Lepisosteus oculatus: one gene and its partner. The protein of the gene in region 2 interacts with the protein of the main gene of each other region in a pairwise test. Links are inferred from orthologs where the notes say so. Each region holds a gene or a part of one and is shown on either strand. Other genes may lie near its edges. The genes, in order: nkx3-1 and SAM pointed domain-containing Ets transcription factor.

Region 1 (9,022 bases), on a different chromosome or scaffold from region 2:
CTCATTTGAAGGTGCAGATACTTAATTTGAAGTATAAAAATCAGAAGCAAACATTAGACAGTAGCTTGCTCTCCACCTGTCCTGTATAGCAACAGCAGGTAAAGAATTTCCATATTGATCATGATAACTGCTCTCACAACCTTCTGACCCTCCATATGAAGAAGTGCCATTTTATTCTAACGACCTGGGAAGATACATGTGCTTGGATTTAATTAGGCATCTCAGCGCCTGTGTATGGTCTTTTTTGTTTGTAGCTGTTTCTTAAAATTGCAAGAAATAAACGGAAAAAGCAAAGCAAAAAAAAAAACAGACATCCCAGACATCACTGGGCCAGGTCAGCAGTGACAAGAGAGGCAGCAGTTCAGGAAGAGTGAAGCACAGCCCAAGCGGTCAGACTTTTTGTCTGTGCTGCCTGTTTAAACTTCTGGGGGCTTCTGTTATTGTAAAGGGGGACTGGAGACGAGGAAGCTCCAGACCTTTCCCTACCTAAACCTAAAGAGGTCAGTCCAGTACAGCGGGCCAGCAAACAAACAAATGGAGCAGAATGTGTGCGTCAGGTGAAGTACCACAGCTAATGATTTGGCCACATTGCTGAAGAAACTCCCACTGGGCCACCCAGACAGCTCCACCACTGCAAGACTCTCTGGGCCCTGCTCAACAGGAACTTAATTCACTCCCCAGAACCCAGGGTGAGGGTGCTCTGACACTCAGGGCACATCTGAAAATACTACAGCTATCCCGTTGCACAATAAATCTTTCACAGCTGTTTACCAGCCAAACAGATAAGAGTCCCAGGAGCTGTATCCAGAGCTGTGTTGAGTTGTTATCTGGGAGATAGTCTTATCTTACAACTGTCCTGTACAAGCCAGCATTGAATACATTTCATTCATTCCTACTGAACACACAGGGTAGGAGGGAGGAGGGTTGCATAATTCCTTTTTCTTCAACCAAAAATATCAGTTCTTTTTACTTACATGGCATTCAGAAGAAGTTAATTTTTAGCGCGATACACACTGCACTAAGAAGCATCTACATTGACTTCGTTAATATTCAATGTTGGTGTTGGGTGGTATCTTGTACAGAAAACAGCAAATCACTTGATTAAAAAAAAAGAATTGCATGACACATAGGACTGTTCTGTGAAACAAAACTTCCTGGGTGACCTAAAGGGTATGACTCTGTGTTTATTAAGGTACCATAACCAGATACATAGACAGGACTTGTGGTTAATACATCATCAAGAAATACCCAAACAGATAAAAATCAAAATAGCAATGCCATAAGATTATGATGATGATGATAATTAAACTGGTTCAGGTTCTAACCAGACATTGTTAGTAGTTTGGAAATATTTAGAAACATCTTGAAAAACAAATAAACTACTCACTTTAACCCTGACCCAGAAAAATTCTTCATTCTCCGCCCTGTAAAAGTAAACAACAACTATGCTACACAAATAATGCCACAGATACAATATCAGGCTAGTAAAAACAAGAAATCCCAATCTGACACATTCTGGGTCTAACTTTGACTGAGTTGTACATTTTTACTTTGTGATGATGATGATAGCCGAGCTATTTATGAGGGATGTATAACAGATGGGGTGACATTAACACACCACAGTTTCCTTCTCCGAGCCAGTTTCAACTGTTTTCAGAGGCCTTCTGTTGACGACACAAAGCTGTAGGTCACATCATTAAGTGGTAAAGATCTTTATGAATTAATATATCTGATGCCTTTAAGCAAAGCAGCTTGAAGAGGTTACAATCACCATATTTTCTCAAATGATGGTTCAGATTAAACCAGGTGGGTTTGCTTTAAATACCTTGCTAGGAGGCATAGCATCAGCTGGATTTGAACTCACAACCCTCTGGTCTGGAGTCCTCTGGCTCACCCTCCAAAAAACATCCATGCCTATGTTTCTATATTATTATTGTTGTTGTTGTTCCATTGCCTTTTTTTCCCCCACAAAGTGAAATTTTTGAATGATCTGCAAAACCATATGAAATCCTTACTGAAATGTCTCTTGACATATTTTGAATTTTGGAGAAATTTCTCCCGCTGTAGCTGGGTAATCTGGTGTATGAGGACAGAACCAACACTGTAAAAATATATCAGAATGCAAAACCAGAAAAAAAAAACTGTGTGCTTCCACAATATATGTACCATACACCACTGACCTCAGAGCAACTAGGGGACTCTGCACCAGAGACCACATAATGTAAATTAAAAGAGGATAAACTTTTATTAAAGATGGACTAGAAATAACTGCAGAAAGTAATTCTAGCTCAACATTAATGATATATGTTTTTAGGTTATGTTTGTATATATTTGAAATAGTTATGCTGGAAATCTTTTGGTAAAGCATTTATCAGCATTTTGTAAAATAATGAAATAGATGGATGGTTCTGAAATGACTCTGGACTGGACCCAAATACAGTGTAGCAGTATTCAGAATCAAATAGCCCTTATATGCTGCTCCGCACAGGAGCTTGCACTTGAATGTTGCCAGTTGGCACCATACCAAAAATTATTTCAGCACATTTTGTTTTTTTATGAGCATCAATACTCTTTAATAACAGCATCCTCAGCTCCACTTGAAGTGAAAACTAAGGCTACAGAAATGCATCACAACTCTGGAACTGCTCATCATGATGCAACTTGAAATGAGCACTACAGCTAAAAAAAATAAAAAAAATAAATGGCACTAACGAGAAAGAACGATGTTGTATCAGCCATAGGAACCAGTGTTTTTCAGTAATCTGTTTACTGGGATGAACAATGAATTAAACCCTCACCAGGACCTTGAGGCGTTATCTTATCTCATGTTTATAACCTCAGAAACTACTGTTATTTTGCTAGTTACATCTAAGTGTAGGTTAATTAATGCTCAAAGACAAAACACACAACAGACTTACCCACCTTCCTGCAGTTCACTGCTTTGCTCTTGTTAAAAATGTCTTTGTTCTTATTAAATTAAATTGGTTGTGGTGTATCAGTCATTAACATCCAATTATACACAACCTATGGTCAACATGTAAACTGGAGACAATCTGTTATTTGGTATTAAATGATATGTCAAATGTAACAGAGTAAGCCTACAGTCCATTGTCTACAGAACGGCTTCCCAGCTCCAGTCCTGGAGAAACACTGTCTTCTGAATTCCATTCCAGCTGAGCTCTATATCTCCAGCGCTAATTGGTGATTTAATTGGGCTGTTCAGGTTAATTGGGCTTGTTTATACTTTTTTTCAACATATTGCCTTGGTCAGTACTGAATGTAAAAAATAACCTACTTCGTGGATTTCGGTTTCTAAATATGTCAGTGCACAAACGTTCCTCATCCACTCCGTCACCACATCGGCCATTGCTTCTCATGAAAACCGCTCCTGCCTCCTGATCAGCGGAGGAAGAACAGCCGCAGGTGGGAATGACACAGTAGAAGACACGCCCACGATTTCTGCCTCCTCCAGAGGGCTAATATCTTACATTTCAGGCACCGTGCCCAAACGAGGGTGGTTCTGAAAACGGAAGTCAGAACTGGGTTGATACTAATTGAATTGCCAATTCAGTCGGTTTACAAAACTTACAAATATTTTCAAAATAGAAAGCTGAAATCAATTAACGTGTGGTTAAGCATAAATCCAACACAGTGGTCCTGCAGTCCTACAGACTCTTCAATCTGTGTACCTGTGTGTAGGTATTTAATAGCCTAACATTTCCTTATGACTTGTAACAAGTTATATACAGTATATAGCATTATATTTTAGAAGTAATAAGAACAAATATGGCACATGGTCTGATCTACTCAATCCTTTGTCATTATGCAGTGAAGCTGTAGAAAGCCATAATTTTAGTTTAGAAATATTTTGAATAAAATGCTCCAACACAAGGCATCAAAGGTAATACCAATTGCATTTCTGTAGACAGAGTGAAAGAAAAAACAGTTTTCCCACCAAAGCAAATTGATGCTTTTCAAGTAATGTAGTATTGTACTGTAGTCCTCACATAAAATTATTTTTCCAAATAATACTAATTGCCATTGATAAGCAAAAGTTTCGTATTGCTTTACTTTTCTGCTGCATTTAATCCGTCCTGTGCATGAAATTCCCGTTAATGTAAACGGTGATTTTTGTCAAATCTGAACATTTCAAACGCATATATTAACAGGCGTATTCAAAATACTTTTATTTTCCCCAAGCCTACCTGCCAGCGCAAATGGAAACCTGATTTAGAAATAATAATATTACAAATGGGGAAATTGTCTTCGTGTCGTTTAATTGTTCATGAACAAACTGTACAGGTGCAAGAATTATTAGTCGTTAAGTCGTTTAACGACTGATTGTGAGGCAGAACATGTCTAGTGCATACAATATGTTACAGTTTCACTACATAATTTTTAAAAAAATGCTGTCATTTTGAAATATTTCATGTTTCACGTATCCTAACATTTGCTACGGCTACGCGCATTCACTGTTAATCAGTGCAAATTTCTCTTTTTATTATTTGCGAAGTGCAGCTTAATATGGTTTAATTTCTGCGAGGATGCCCAGTTTGTTTTTTTAAATGCAGTGAGTGAAAAAAACGTAAAGATCACGATAAAACACTGAAATCCGTTAAAATATTTAAAAACGTAACGATTGCCCACAAACAATCATAAAAGTCCTATGTGTATTTTTTACCATAAAACTAAAATTCGTTCAAACATTTTAAAAACGTAACGATTGCCTACAATCATAAATATCCTATGCATATCTTACATACAGACCTAACATCCGTGAAAATCTTTTAAAAAACTTTATAGCGATTGTCTATAAATAATAATAAAGGTTCAATGCATATTTTCTACATATGAAACTCAATTAACATATGAAATTGAAAAGTACTGTAGATGTCATCACTGCGCAAGGATAGACTATCCGAAATAAAAACACCGTAGTGATTTATCAGGTAAAAAAAAGTGTGAACTGAGCAGATCTGTTTCTGTCATTAGCTCCGGCCCAGCCAATGATATTCTCCCTATGAGTCACCTTCCAATGAGAAGGAACGACAACGTCTGCGATTAGTCCTGTATAAATCGAGGAGGCGCAAAGGAAAGAGCTGCAGAACGGTTTTAAGATCCTATTGATCATAGAACAAAATCTGTTTCTTGCTGTGGGACCAAGCTGCTGTGTGGCTGACAGAATGTCTGCTTCTGTTAAACCGTTAACGTCGTTTCTTATTCAAGACATTTTGGCCTTTAAGGAAGAGTCACGCTTGAGCACCCCAAGGTACGCCTGTGCCAAAGAACCGAGGGAACGCGATAAAAGCCCCGACAGCATCTCGGCAGGTCGGGACACACGGTGCGCCACTGGCGAAAGGGCTTTTGCGTGTGCAGATTCCACAAACGAAGACATCCAGGAGTCTTTCAGCCATGCTCGTGAGACTGGCTCACACGACAAAAACACCTCGACGGACTTGAAGGCTGTGGGAAACGGTGAGGAAACTCCACAGTCTTCTGCAAACTTCCGAACGGAAGATCTAAACGGGTTACAAATTCATCTTCGTGGGGAAGGAAGGGGAAATAAGTTTTAAATCTCGGGTGATGGGAGAAGGATTTGCGCAGAACCATTCTAGACAGTTTGCATTACATTTCTAAAGGCGCAATTTGACGTTTTTATTGTAAAAGTTGTTGTGAATGCCAGGGTGTAAAATAATCGATAAACTAGAATATCGGTCCGTTGGGCTACCTGAAATCTGCGCTCTTACAATGTAGCTAGTAAACGACAGGAAACATCTGTTAAATCTAGTCAGTCCTGATCAATGACAGACATTTTTAAAAAATAACAATTTAAGGACTGTCATTATCCCATTAATTTCACTGTATGTTGTAATAACCTAAATGAAAACAAAAAAACAATGCATTATCATTACCCTTAAGTTATAACCTTAAATGGCCTTGGGATGATATAGCCTTTCATAAAAATAAAGTCTGTAATCTGTGTTGCCTTTCTTATAGGAAATCGAACATTGTTGGCATGATGTGTTGTAACCGAAAAACAGCTGAACAAATGATTTTGTCCCCGCAGACCGCAACGAAAGACCGCCTTGTGGCAGTTCCCCGGAGTGTGGCCGCGGCCGGTCCGCGGACAGTCGGAGCTCAGGCGGTAAGCAGAAGCGCTCCCGGGCGGCGTTCACGCACTTGCAGGTGCTGGAGCTGGAAAAGAAATTCAGCCACCAGAAGTACCTGTCGGCCCCGGAGAGGGCGCACCTGGCCCACAGCCTGCGGCTCACGGAGACACAGGTCAAAATCTGGTTTCAAAACAGGAGATACAAAACCAAACGGAAACAGCTGGCTACCGAATATGGCAAAGACCCCTTTAAAAGAGCCACTGGACTGCCTTGCTTGGGCACGGAGGAGGACTTGATAAGAGCGTCACTGTTCGCGACCATGTACAAGACTTACCACGATCAACAGCCCTGCCTTTATGGGCTAAACGTATGGAACTCTGCTGTGTGGTGAAAACCCGAAACGGGCCCTCAATAATTTATATTTTTTCAGTTATGCTGTTTTCTATATTATATATGTGATACAAAATAAAAACATGTAAATATTATTTCTTTTTTATAATAAACCTTTTTTCACCTATTGGTATATTGCTTATAGCTTTTCTCTTTTTGGACTTGGGGGGGCGAGGTTGGTTATGAAGTCGTTAAAGTAAATCTCATATAAATTAAGTATTCAAATTCTGCCCTGAAATACTAATTTTAGCACTCCTTTCCTCCTAACACGTATTCTGTTAAGAAATCCAAGCACACTTCTGTTTGCCTTTTGTTCTATTTAAATGACACACATTTTCCTTTAGCCTTTATGCTTAATACCAGTAAATTAAATGAGTAATAACATTCACATATGCCTAATATGTACACAACACCAACGATCATAATGCACTATTAAGAAAACCATAATTAGAAAAATGCATAATTAAACTTCACGCTACTGTACATATGCAGTATAGCAATATTATTCTTGTATGTTTTCCTGCTGTAAACACACATCAACTCTGATATGTGTTGAGAATATTGCTCAATATATATTATATAGTGACATTCATATAAGTCGTATTGCATTAATTTAAATCTTCTGACGTCAATCCTTTCATTCTGAAGACAGTATGTAACTATTCTACATCGATGTGTAATTTTGTATTAATTTTTATTTATTCAGTACATTACATTTAAATCAAATAAAATCTTTCCAACAGTAGCTGTTTTCTGTGTGACTTATGTGGGTCAGGCTTTTCATGTGGAGAAATCCTGCAACACATTTCAATGTGTCTCTCATGATGGAGACTCCTGCTGGATTAAATCTGAGATTGTGGCAATAGAAACAAGCTCTTCAGTTCGTGGGCTAACAATGATCGCAACTGTATTCAAATTCTGCTGAAATGCACAAACTGGCACCAGTACACTGGATACAGACAGGGAGTCAAGTAAAAACATGGGGGCCTTTTCAAATCCTGTAGTTTGAGTTATTAAGATAGAGATCAAGGTACCTGTATTGCAGGTTTATCATTTACTCTGGGTGAGGTGGTGGTGCCTTGTATCTCAAGAACCCCTACATACATCATAGTATTATCATTTTGTCGATAGCTTGAAAATATCAGAACAAACCAATCCACAAGAAACTATTGCAACCTGTTCAGGCTGTCAGGGGCAGGATGTTTCATTCAGTATGTACTGTATGTTAAATTTTGTGCGTATAGATAGAAAGAAGATGAAGAGGAAAGTTTATACGACTCGTATTTTACATGATCTAGTTTCTCGCTGAATATTATAGCCAGAACAAGGTGCTTAGATGAACACATTTATGTACTTTGCATCCAATTTCATTAGTGATGTGATTTTAAACTTTCCTCAAATGCTGGTGTTGCCTCTTCATTTTGTGCTTTTCTGGACAATTCTGGGATCTCTAGGAAACTGATGCTTTTGAGCACTTGAGTTGTTTGGAAAGTAGTGCACAATAAAACTAGCAGGTTTGAACTGGTTCATTGAATATCACACCATATATTACTGTTGCTATCCAGTGGAATTCTTGTTTTCCATTCTAACTGCTGAGGCACAAAACTACCTCAATAAAAGTAGGGTGTTGGTAGAAGCAAGCTACTGTAGCTTAGCACTATTGTTACCCCAATCAACTATGACACCTTTTATTAATTCATATTGTGATTAAAAGGGTTATTAAAAAGGCACCTGAAGAGCACAGTGGTGTACAAAGTTCTCCCAAAGTCTGCAAAGAGCATCCACAAAAATCACATAACTCCCTTGCTTCTGTTACCACCACCATTAATTTAATAGAAAATGGCAATTTCCATACTACTGTCTGTAGTAGAGCATCATTTTAGTGACACAAACCCTGATCGGTGCAACACAGAAACACTTCCCCTCATCACATCCCTTCACTGCGCTTTGAGAGGCTTTCCGAAGGTCACTTGCACTGTGAGGCTCAAGGAAACAATCTCAAAGCACATGCTGTAACAATGAGTGATGGAGAGCACACTCAACAGGAGCAGTAAGAAACGAGATAAGAGAAAGGCTTGGACACAGCCCAGGAATGCAAATCCTGAAAACAGACCCTTCTCACGTTACAGAAAAAGAAACATTCAAGTTTGCCCTTTTAGGTGATTATTCATCAATATCTATTTTTTATGTACTGGCTGATTTTATGTTTGGTTGGTTCTTTTAACCTCCACATAGGCAACAGAATATTTATGGACAAACGTACAAGTTTGGTTCAATACGTTAATACAAAGGGGCACTTAAAATGGTTCTAACCACAAGGTGTGGTATCACTTTCAATGTTAATCTTGACATCAAATCATCTAAACCTGTGAACACTACTGCCTTAGGATAAAAGCCCTGAGCTCTTCCACCTCAGGACTTTAATCAAGTTGGTATGATCCTCCCCTGTAATAGTAGTCTGTGAGTTGCCAGGACTCCCTTTGCAACCCTGTGGAAGTTTAGTTCATTCTTGCCTGATAATG
Region 2 (10,537 bases):
ATTGTTTCAGAAGCTTTGAAATGTGGTTCACACACACACAAAAAGCTTGCTTTCCAAGCGCAAGCCAAAATCACTCACGTACCCGCTCCTTTCCACACATTTGTTTAGCAAATTTGGAGGTTGCGCTGCAATCAGAGTTACAGTCACATCATGCAAATGATATTTAAAGTGAATGTGTATTTCTGAATAACGGAGAAAAAACTCCTCAGACTCGGGAGATCATATTCCTAATGCAATGAAACATAAAAGATGTAAAAGCTGGCAGCAGGAATTCATTCTCTCTTGAAAAAGTAAAACTGCTTTCTTCCTTGACCTACTACACTGCAGGAGATTAACTCATTAAGTTAACATCACACCACAGGCACACTGGATAGTGTAGCTTAATTACTGTACACAGTATGTACGTTGTCCCCAGGGGTCTTGAAGGTGCACATTAATTCAGGAAAATGGATTTCATTTGAAAGTGTAGTTAAAACTGAAATGCTGAAATCTATCTAGTTTCTAAGAGCTCCATTCAAGTCAGGGTCACAGGGGAGCCAGAGCCCAGCAAGCAACAGGAACAAGGCAGGATATTCCCTGGATGAGACACCAGTCCATCACAGGGCTGACACACACACACACGTTCACAACAGGGCCAGTTTTCCCAGAAGCCAATTCACCAACAGTACCAGTACATCTTTGGACTGTAGGAAGAAACTAGAGCACCAGAAGGAAACCATGGAAACACAGTGAGAATACAGAAACTCCGTGCAGTGAGTCCCCACTAATTGAACCCAGGTCCCAGCACTGCAAGGCAACAATGATAACCACTGCACAACTGTGTAGCCCTGAAATGTGATAATCAAATATAACTCTCAATAAAAGCAAGCTTTAATATATGAATACATAGCAATTTAGGGGGTTTTAATTAACTGCAATGTGTGGTGATATAGCTGTTTGGTACTTGTTCTACAGTGCGTCGGTGGCAAAGTTATTTATCAGAATCGTTTGAATCTAATCTTAGCGTATTTATTATATGGATACATTGTATATATAAACACATCCAGAGACGAAATATCCAGGCACTGTGTAAATATCATTGTATCGCTATTTGTCGTCTGTAATTATTCGGTCGCTGTATTGCCGTGTTTGCTCTCTTCCTTTGCAAGACTTTGTATTGCCCTTAATTGGTAAACACAAATCAATTAAGACATATATGGCATAAGCTTCACACATTAAATGAGTGACATTTTAATTTTAATTTCCTTTATCTTGTATTGATTAAGACGTACAGCCCTAAATTGCACAGATTATGACGGATTTCTAGATTAATCCCAGTGACCATGGGGTCTGATCACTGACAGGACTAGTGTGCAGATATTCAGTGTGATTCAATCAGGGTAACAAAGCACAAATAACAGTAGGAGCACAAGTTCATGGGGACATTTGCATATTACTTTCTACATTAGGGCCAAAATACAACGTAATTGCTTGGAACTTGAGCTTCAAAACTGGTCTTTCCCTCTTCTGTGTCAGATAGTTCACAATTCCTGCAGCACACACCCTGATTTGTCATCATAGTAATCACCTGTTCCATGATAATATTTAACTCCTGTCACTCCAGTAGAAGGCAAAGAGAAGAAAACGTTTTCTATTGTATGGCAAACACAAGATGAATATACTGCTTTTCAAATGAATAGCAAACAACATTTAACCAATTTCAGTTTAATCAGGGAATAACAATAACAAAAACTGGAAAATCTCAGGAGCACTGTCTACTATGTACAGTAGCCATGGTCATTATGAGAATGTAATGATGCTACTTTTACCACAAATCACAGCTACTAATGTACTACAGAACAAATAATAACTTCTTATTTAGCATCCTGATAGATTTACAGTAGAGTCTGCTTAAGAACAGGTTCAAGTGGGGAGCTGCGTCAGCATGCCTAGGCTTCAAGGGAACAAGTAAAGGTTTATTCCATGCTGAAAAGAGAAGAAAAGAAACACAACGTCTTGTGTAGAGGTGCTGTAGAAAAGGGCTCATGGTGCTACATGTGTTGTACTCTCCTTCTGCTGACTTGAAAATCTGAAAATATCATCTTTGAAAAGATCGTGAGATTTATATGAATTCTAAATATTATATACCTTTTATTTTGGTTAATTACAAGTATACAAATTGGAACAAAAGCATACTTTGAGCTCAAGCCAAAGTTTTGGGGGACACTCAAATTAAGTTAAGTTCATAGAGTGAAATATTTAGTTGCATATCCTATTGAGCCAATAGCTGCACGATGCCCAAGAGATGTTGAGCTCCCCAAATCCTTTGTGTATAACCATTTGAGAGAGTTTGCTGCAGTCACATTGATAATTGGCCTATTCTTGATCATGGAGCATTCTGACTTTATTTTTTCTGCATGTCTGCTCCATTTGATTGAAATCTTGGCTAATTTTAGGTATTCCACATTCACATTTTCTTCCTTTTTGTCCCATGAGTATGGCAGCAGTTTCTTCTACAAAATATTTCAGCAAACTACCAAATTCATTTTGCTGCTGCCTTCATTACTTATAGTGTATCATCAATAAAGATCAGTTCCAGAGCCATGACACTGCCTCCACCATGCTTTACAGATGGGGTCCTGTAAAGTATTTGCAGTTTTATTTCACTGTACTGTAAATCTTCCATCACTTCGGTAGAGGTTTATCTCGATCTTATCTGACCCTACAACATTGTTCCAGAACTCTCCCAGCTCTTTGTTTTCCTTCTGAACAATGTCCAGTCTGCCTCTTCTGTTCCTGGAGCTGATGAAAGGTCTACATCTTGCAGTGCAGCCTTTGTAAATCTGCTAAGTCTTCTGTGAACTGTGGGTTCTGACACTTTCACCCATTCACTCCAGAGACTGTTGCAGATTTCACTGACAGAGGTTTTCTTGTTTTCCTTGACAGCTCTGCTAGTTTATCTGTCATCGTCTGCAGATGTTTTCCTTGGCTGACTCAGTCCTTTCGGTATATAGTAATAATAGCCGTGGTTTCGTTTTGTCTTTGGAAAGTTTCAAATTCTTGTTTTTTGTTTGGCCAATGTCTGTGTCGTGGTTCAGACTTAGTTCTGTTTTCTCCCCGCTTCATAATTGCCAGCTTTTAAGAGAAAGCTCTTTGGTTATTTTTTTAAATTATTATTAAGTTGTGACTACAGACTCTGTAGCTAATCGCTGAAGCCAAAGTAAAGTCAAGCTGGCAGTCAGGTTCACAGCTCCTTTGTGAGTTCCTAATTATCCACCAATTAACAGCTGACTGTCATAAATAAACTCCAGTCAGCCAATTATTGCTATACATTTTCTCCTTCAGAATATCATTTTCATTGACCAAAGATGATTGAACTGAACTAAATCAAATTAAGGAAAAATTATATATATAAATAAAAGTCGTACTTACCAGTTATATTTTTTCGTGATAAATGACTGCTAGGGTTTATAATGAAAATTCCAGTTTAGACATCACTGTCCACATTCTTCTAGAGTGCACTGTATTTTAGTTGGCATAACATCGAGTTGATGTGAACACCACCATTTAAGGAACAAGGCTCAGTGCAGTGCACAACACAAAACTGGCTCCTGCAGAAAACTTAAAATTAACATCTTTTAATTGATTCATATGATTGTTAAATATGTAGTCAAGAATATCCTTCATACCCTTCTATAAAACCGATTGTAGAATAGGGGCTGAGAAATGGTGATAACAGACCTCTACTGTACCATGGTGAATCTTGTGTTCTTATTAAATGTGCAGTTTATATCAAGGGATGTTGAAATTGTACACTGCACTAGTAAGATCTCATTTACAATATAATTCTACATTTTCTATCACCACATTATAAAAAGATATCGCTGCTCTGGAGTCAGTCTAGATTGCAACCAGATACATTCTGGGGCTTAAGGGAGTGTCCCAAACTGACAGACTGAAGAAACGGAGTCTCTTTAGTCTGAACTGAGAGTCCAACACTGACAATCTGAAGGAAATTAACCGTTTTTGTACTTGAACACAGAAGACTATGAGGGGACCCGATACAAGTATTCAAAAAGGCCCTCAAAGGCCCTGACACAGTGTACCCAGTGGATTACTTTTCAGAATGAGCAGTGCGACAGGAGGCAGAGGACAAATTGGAAAGTAAATGGAAGTGCGTCTGAAACTGAGAGCAGCCCTTTACAGAAAGGACTGTGGAGTTCTAGAAGCTTCACTGCCATGCAGCTGCTGCTAATACTCTGCTAATGCTAATGTTTTTATTTCAAGAAACAGCTATATCAGATTCTCAGAGCAGTTAACTCTTTACTCTTCTTATTTTATTATGAATCTGCCCAGGATTTTTGCAGATTTCCTATACACTTTGAACAGATTTCCCACAGATCACCTATCCATGATCTTACCATGTTTTCACACTTTTGCGCTGATCTTGCTGTATTTTACTACACCTTACTGTGATTTTACCTAGGTATTTAGAAGGGCATATTTAAAAAATATACAGTACATATGAAACAACTCTGCTACATTACAATGCCAAACACAACTGTTCAGTTTTTGCTCCATCTGTCTAAACCCACTATTGAATCTATTCATGTGCATCTGTGTGATGTACAAGGCCATACTATCTGCTAAGCTGTATTTACTCCATTTTATGCTTGGCATTGTGTTACGTACACGTCATTTCACATTGGTAAACAATGTAGTGGAATTCTAGATCCACAATCACAATGCATGTGCGATTACGTTTTTTTACTGACCACACCATCTCTTAACATTCCTTTATAAGTTATATATTTAAAACAATTTAAGCCTCAATAATAGTAACACACCCTTTCAGAAATAAAAAGGCTGACAAAACATGTTAAAAAACTATTTAAAACTATTCAAATTATGTAGTACACTCAAGATCTCTATCCCGCAGACCAGAAAATATAATCATATTTACAAAAGAGTCAGTTAGCAAAAAGCCTTTGTGTTTAAATAACTCCACATCCTATTACAGGGCATTACAAATTGTGGGTGAATACTTCTGTTTTGCCTTCTAGCATGTAGGACCAAACAGATATTAGGAGATATTTTAGGAAATTTTATTTTTCCAGTGCGTGCCAAGCTGTAAATTTGACAACTACTCAGCCGAGAATCAAAGCTACACCTCTTGTGGGAAAATAACATCAATCGAATTGGATAGCCATTATTTTACTCCTGAGCCTGAGTTCTGCAGACCCCTAAATCTTGTAATCTTGTAATCTGAGAATTGTAATAGCGATTGTAATATGAAGCAGAAACGAGAAGGGGGGAATGGGAGAGATGAGCTCAGAAAAATAACCAAGCTGCAGCAGCAGTGCCCTTGTGAACCAGGGAGGAAACTTCCATCTGAGCCATCTATTCCCAGCAGCTTGTGAACTCATTTCTCAGCACACAGAGCCCTCCTCCCCTCACTCTCCCAGCCTGCAGCTGTGGCCAACAAAGGGTTAAATAATAAGAAGGAAACAAAAGTTTCGTTTCTTCCTTAAGGGGGAAAGAGAGCCCTCTCCGAGATATTTAAATACCTCCGACTGAGGTAGGCACACACAGGCTGTTTACTCAGGTAAATAAGGTCTCTCTATAAATAGGAGCTGAGTCCATGGAGCAGGCATTGCTTCACTCTCAGGCACACTGGCCGATGGGAGACGGGGCTAGCTGACTGGAACTCGCCCACCAGCCCGCCAGCTCGCCCACGCACTCACAGGCATGCCCCTTCTTAGACCTAACCTGTAGAGCTGCCTGCCTTTGCCTCGCACTCCAGGCCAGGAGCTGCTCACAGTAAGGGGAGCACTGTAAGCTGTAAGAGGAAGCCGAATGTATACGATCCCCCCCCCCCGAACCAGGAGAAGACCGAACTGGGCCACTGACGCGTTCTGATCCGTCCAGCACACCTGTTCCCCTCCCATCACCTGCGTGCGAGACCTCAGGCGCTCTCTGCTGTGTTTGGATGCTTTTTTTTTGAGACTCCGGGTAGAGGGCTGTCAGAGCAGTCAAGCCATTGACTGGACCATTTCTGGACTGGAGGCAAGAGCATCCCGTTTCTGCAAATTGAAAGAGACAGAGGACTTCAGCTCCCCAAGAGCGACTGATCTGCGAAGCTCTTCCCGTTGCATGGTAAGAAAGAGCACTGTTTCTTTATACACAGTCTGTTTATAGGGGTGACATTACTAACATGCTTTACAAAACAAGATTAATTGGCCAAAAGTGTCAAAGTGATCAGGTTCACTTGGAAATGGGAGCACTTTAAGGGAATTAAATTATATCCCTAATGACTTACTGGATGACCTAACTCTATGAGCAAACCAGTGAGCCTGCATTGCATTCACATGACTCCGGGACACAGGAGTTGAACACGTACTGTAAATGAGAAGAAACAAGTCTGTAACCAACTTTTCCGCTTTTCATTTTGAAAGTGTTTGAAACCAAGGACAAACATTCAACAGTACCTTTCTACTTTGCTCTAATTAGTTCCTGTCGAAGCAGGTGACACTGAAACACTAGAGGCTTCTTTTGAAAGAAAAATAGTAAGAATGGGGAAACCCATGAATAAGAAATGCAATTTCCCTCAGGGAATTTTTTTTTTATAATTTTCTCTAAACACACAAACATGTAAATTAGAATTTATTCCCACATTTTGCTTAGTATGTTTCATACCACTTTCTGAATATTTGTGCTGTTTATTGTCTCTTCCAATCCAACTGTGCACCATCTGTGAAGTTCATGAATTTGAGAAGCGCTGTCTGAGATTCTGTTTCACACATGTGGAATATGCACTCCTGTTGAGGGCATGGGAGGAAAGGTTTTGCTAAAAATCATAAACTATAACTGGGTCCTATTGTACCTTTTGGTCAGGTTTTGCAAGACCATACAAACTGTATATAATAACTTGTCTTCACATTTTTATCAAGCTGAATTGAAAGGAATAATCTGTATAATTGAAACAATTAGGCTCTGTGATACAGTGACATTACACTATTTAAAGAAATGGCAGGTAGACTGAAAACCAACTCAGGAACATAGTTGCCATACACATTGTGGACTAGTAATATCTTCTGTACTATGTTATATCACTACTATACATTTACAATGACACTATGCCACTGTACCCTTTTTTTTGCTTTTTTGCACTATGCAACTTTTTTTTACCATCATGAGTCTAAAATATGCCCTTATGTGCATTATATCATACTGTAAGTCTCCTAGCAGAAATGAACAAGTACTGTTTGATAACATGTTGATTGTTGCCAAAACATCCCTGTATCAGAATATCTTGGACTAAACCAAGTCTTTCTGCCCTAAACCTAATTTTGCGTTGTGCTTATAATAAGAACTAATTTATTTATTATAATGGATCTGTAATGACAATGACACAATGAGCACCACACACTATATTTTAGGCTTGATCTCAGCCATATCTTTTCTTAATGAAGCAAAACCAAAAAACGGTTTTGTGACGTCTCAGTCTGAGCAAAATAGTTTCTTCTGTGGTTTTAACAGCGTGCCGCTGTGTAGTCCTCTACAGTTTTGAAAAGGTAGAGGAGTACACAATTTTATGGTTTAGTAACATATAATTGTGTGGTTTTTCTGCTTTCTCCAATAAAGCCTCTAGCCCTCCTAAATCTTTGTCTGGGAGCTGTCCTTCAAAGTTGAGTCAAAGCAGTTAAGCCAGTCCCTAATGCAACCTAGAGCTGAAGGATTGCACTAATCACAAAGATTTAAAAACTCTTATCCTGCCCAAATGAGTGCCAATTTCACTTTGGAATCCAATTTAACTGAGAGATTATCCATCCATCAATCTTTCACCCTTCATATGCAAGCCTAGACCTGGCTATATAAAGTTTGGAACTTCAGTTTATTGTCCTGTTAGATCCTAAATATATCCTATTATACTGTACATGCATCTTATTTTTTGATATTCTGATCAGGATAGAATTGCTACACATAGAGGTTGTTGAATACACACCAGTACAGTATATCGGTCTTTTATAGAGTTTAATGTTTGCATGATTTACAGGAAAAACAAAAGCCTAAAAACAAATGCAATCACCTTCAGAACAATTGTTTCCCACTTCACCAAAAAAGCAACTAGATCAGCAGAGATGCAGCTCCAGGCAGAGATGAAACAAATCCAGAAAAGAGGAATAGATCATTTATCTGGTTAAATGCAGTTTACGAATTGGACACTCTCTGGAGATGTATCCACACTAGAGCCTTGCTAAGTATCCTGTTAAGTGTGTCACTGAATTCAATAAAAAGCTAAAGACTTTGAAATATTACATCTAAAAATATGTATACAGTTTTGTTATGGGGAATTAGGATTAAAGTTAGAAGTTATGAACTTGTGGTTCCACTTAACCACCTGAGAAGGGTGGTCAATTGAATATTTCATATTTTATTGGGTTAAGCCCACTTTCTGAGTTGCAACTCAGTTTGGAGACAGAAGGAAGTGGAGCTCATTTTGCTCTGCAGTAAGAAAGCCAGCCTGCTGGGGGTGCTTTGTGTGCAGAGGTTGATTCACCAGGGAGCCCAGCTCCTTGTGAATCGTCAGGTGTTCCTGATGGTCTTTCCAGCCAGAGGGTGGATCCCCCGGTCCCACAGTGCAGCTGTTTCCACACGTGTGTGTGCGTAACAGCTCGCAGGGCTCTTCCACCATCTGCAAACAGACCTTATCAGCCACCGCTGGGGAACTGACGTTTCGCGTCCAGTGACGCAGGCGAGAACAGGCAGAGGAGAGGAAGTTTTCTCCTGCAAAAAAAACATGTTGAATTTGAGTACAATTAAGGTTAAAGCCTTTGCAACAATGTGACACCTCATGATCACATCAAAGTGGGCATCATAAAGGCAGTGGCCTTGCATAAACAGACTTAAATCTTTCCGCCTGAATTTCAATGTACCAAGTTGCTTTTGCATCACTTTGTGCTCTAGATCACAATTTCGAAGCACTTGAGAGTTTGCAAGTAATTCTTGAGAACGGCAATCAAGCCTTTGGGAGACTCGAGTACAGTGCTTTCATTAACATTACATTTGTTTTCTAGAAAATTCCTTAGCATATTTAAAAAATCGTTCTGTAATGTAGCCTAAAAACAGTGTTTTACAAAAGGACATTGGGTTCTAACAATCTGAGGAACTGACGTTGGATTTTCATTGCTGTGCCTTGTACAGTAACTGTTAAATAATGGAAAATGTAAAACAAGAAAGCACACTCAGATATCTACAGTATATATAGAATCTGCTACCTTAAATCATACACATCATTATCATTGCATACTCTTCATACGATGAAATATACCTATTTCACCATAAGCATGACCAATAATCAGTATGAGGATCATTAATCAGATATCAAAAAACATATCACACCTTCTGTAAGAATCATTTTCATAAAAGGATATATAATTGTCTGGATAGAGACAGGTTCTTTAATGCAGAAAGATAAACTGACAACTGTAATAAACAGTCCTAAACATTCCAGTCCGTGACATTGCAATTGAAATTCTTAAAGCTTTTTGCACAGATTCCCAGTTTGAGAATTAAAAGTTTTTTTCTACAACAGATAACCAATGTTGCCCAGCTCCTCACTGAGTGGTCCAACTGCCTGTGCCTTAAATAAGTCAAAATCTTTTCACTTAAGAAATCTTCTGTTTTCCCAGTGTTTTTACTCTTCAATTATGACACCTCCTCTCACCACACAATTACACCCCTAATGCGTTTTTCTGGCTTGAAGAGCAACTCGTAAGTAAGACGAATCTTCAGACCTGTTGTGCAGTGATGTGGTGTCAGTCCTGACCACATTGGTTAACAAGCTGTGTTTGAAGACTAGGTTTCTTGAAGACTAGAAAGACAGCACTGAAATTTCTTAAATTGTAACAATTATGTAGTTCTTTCGTGAAGCCAAACCACTTTCATCAGAAAATCAATTTCTTCTGTTAAGGATAGTGGCAACCAGGGACCTGTCCCAGTAGACTAGCTCACAAGCTGGGAGAGGTTTTTTTCCGCAGGGTACACACTCCTAAGAACAATTTGGACACGCCAATTAATCTATTGCACATGGGTGGCGAGAGAGGAGCTGAAGATCTAGGGAGAACATGCAAAAATCCACACAGAAGGCACCCAAGTCTGGAATCAAACCCACGACTTGAGAGCTACAGTACGAGTCAGTAGTACTGACCGTCACACCCACGAGCAGCAATGACACGACCTGGTTCAGTCATCTCCAGGTGATATAAAACATCTCTGTAGCAAGCAGCCACTAAAGCAGGGTTTTTGAAAACACAAATTGTCCTTCAACCTGTCTGAGCTGACTCCCTCATCAAAACTCCACACTGAAAGCATTTTTGTTTTGGAGAGTGTACGACCGATGTTGGTCTGATTCTGCAAGTTCATTACAAATGTAAGTGGTTCATAGATATGGAGTTCGGTATGGTTTCCGTAGTGTTATATGAATCTTCTGCCACACAAGCATATGTTTAAAATTAATACCATCTTTAATTATTTTCTAAATGCAAGATTAAAATCT

Evidence for each region.
Region 1: the proteins of SAM pointed domain-containing Ets transcription factor (region 2) and nkx3-1 interact in a two-hybrid assay, tested with the Homo sapiens proteins (2 studies listed by BioGRID). The link is inferred for Lepisosteus oculatus from reciprocal best matches to the Homo sapiens genes SPDEF and NKX3-1.

What each region holds. Positions count from the first base shown.
Region 1 is NC_090697.1:72,162,193-72,171,214, forward strand, and holds nkx3-1 (homeobox protein Nkx-3.1), read left to right. Parts: upstream 1-5,091; 5' UTR 5,092-5,183; coding exon 5,184-5,475; intron 5,476-6,067; coding exon 6,068-6,501; 3' UTR 6,502-6,627; downstream 6,628-9,022.
Region 2 is NC_090700.1:29,765,219-29,775,755, reverse strand, and holds the start of SAM pointed domain-containing Ets transcription factor, read left to right. Parts: upstream 1-5,650; 5' UTR 5,651-6,135; intron 6,136-10,537. UniProt on the Homo sapiens protein: May function as an androgen-independent transactivator of the prostate-specific antigen (PSA) promoter. Binds to 5'-GGAT-3' DNA sequences. May play a role in the regulation of the prostate gland and/or prostate cancer development.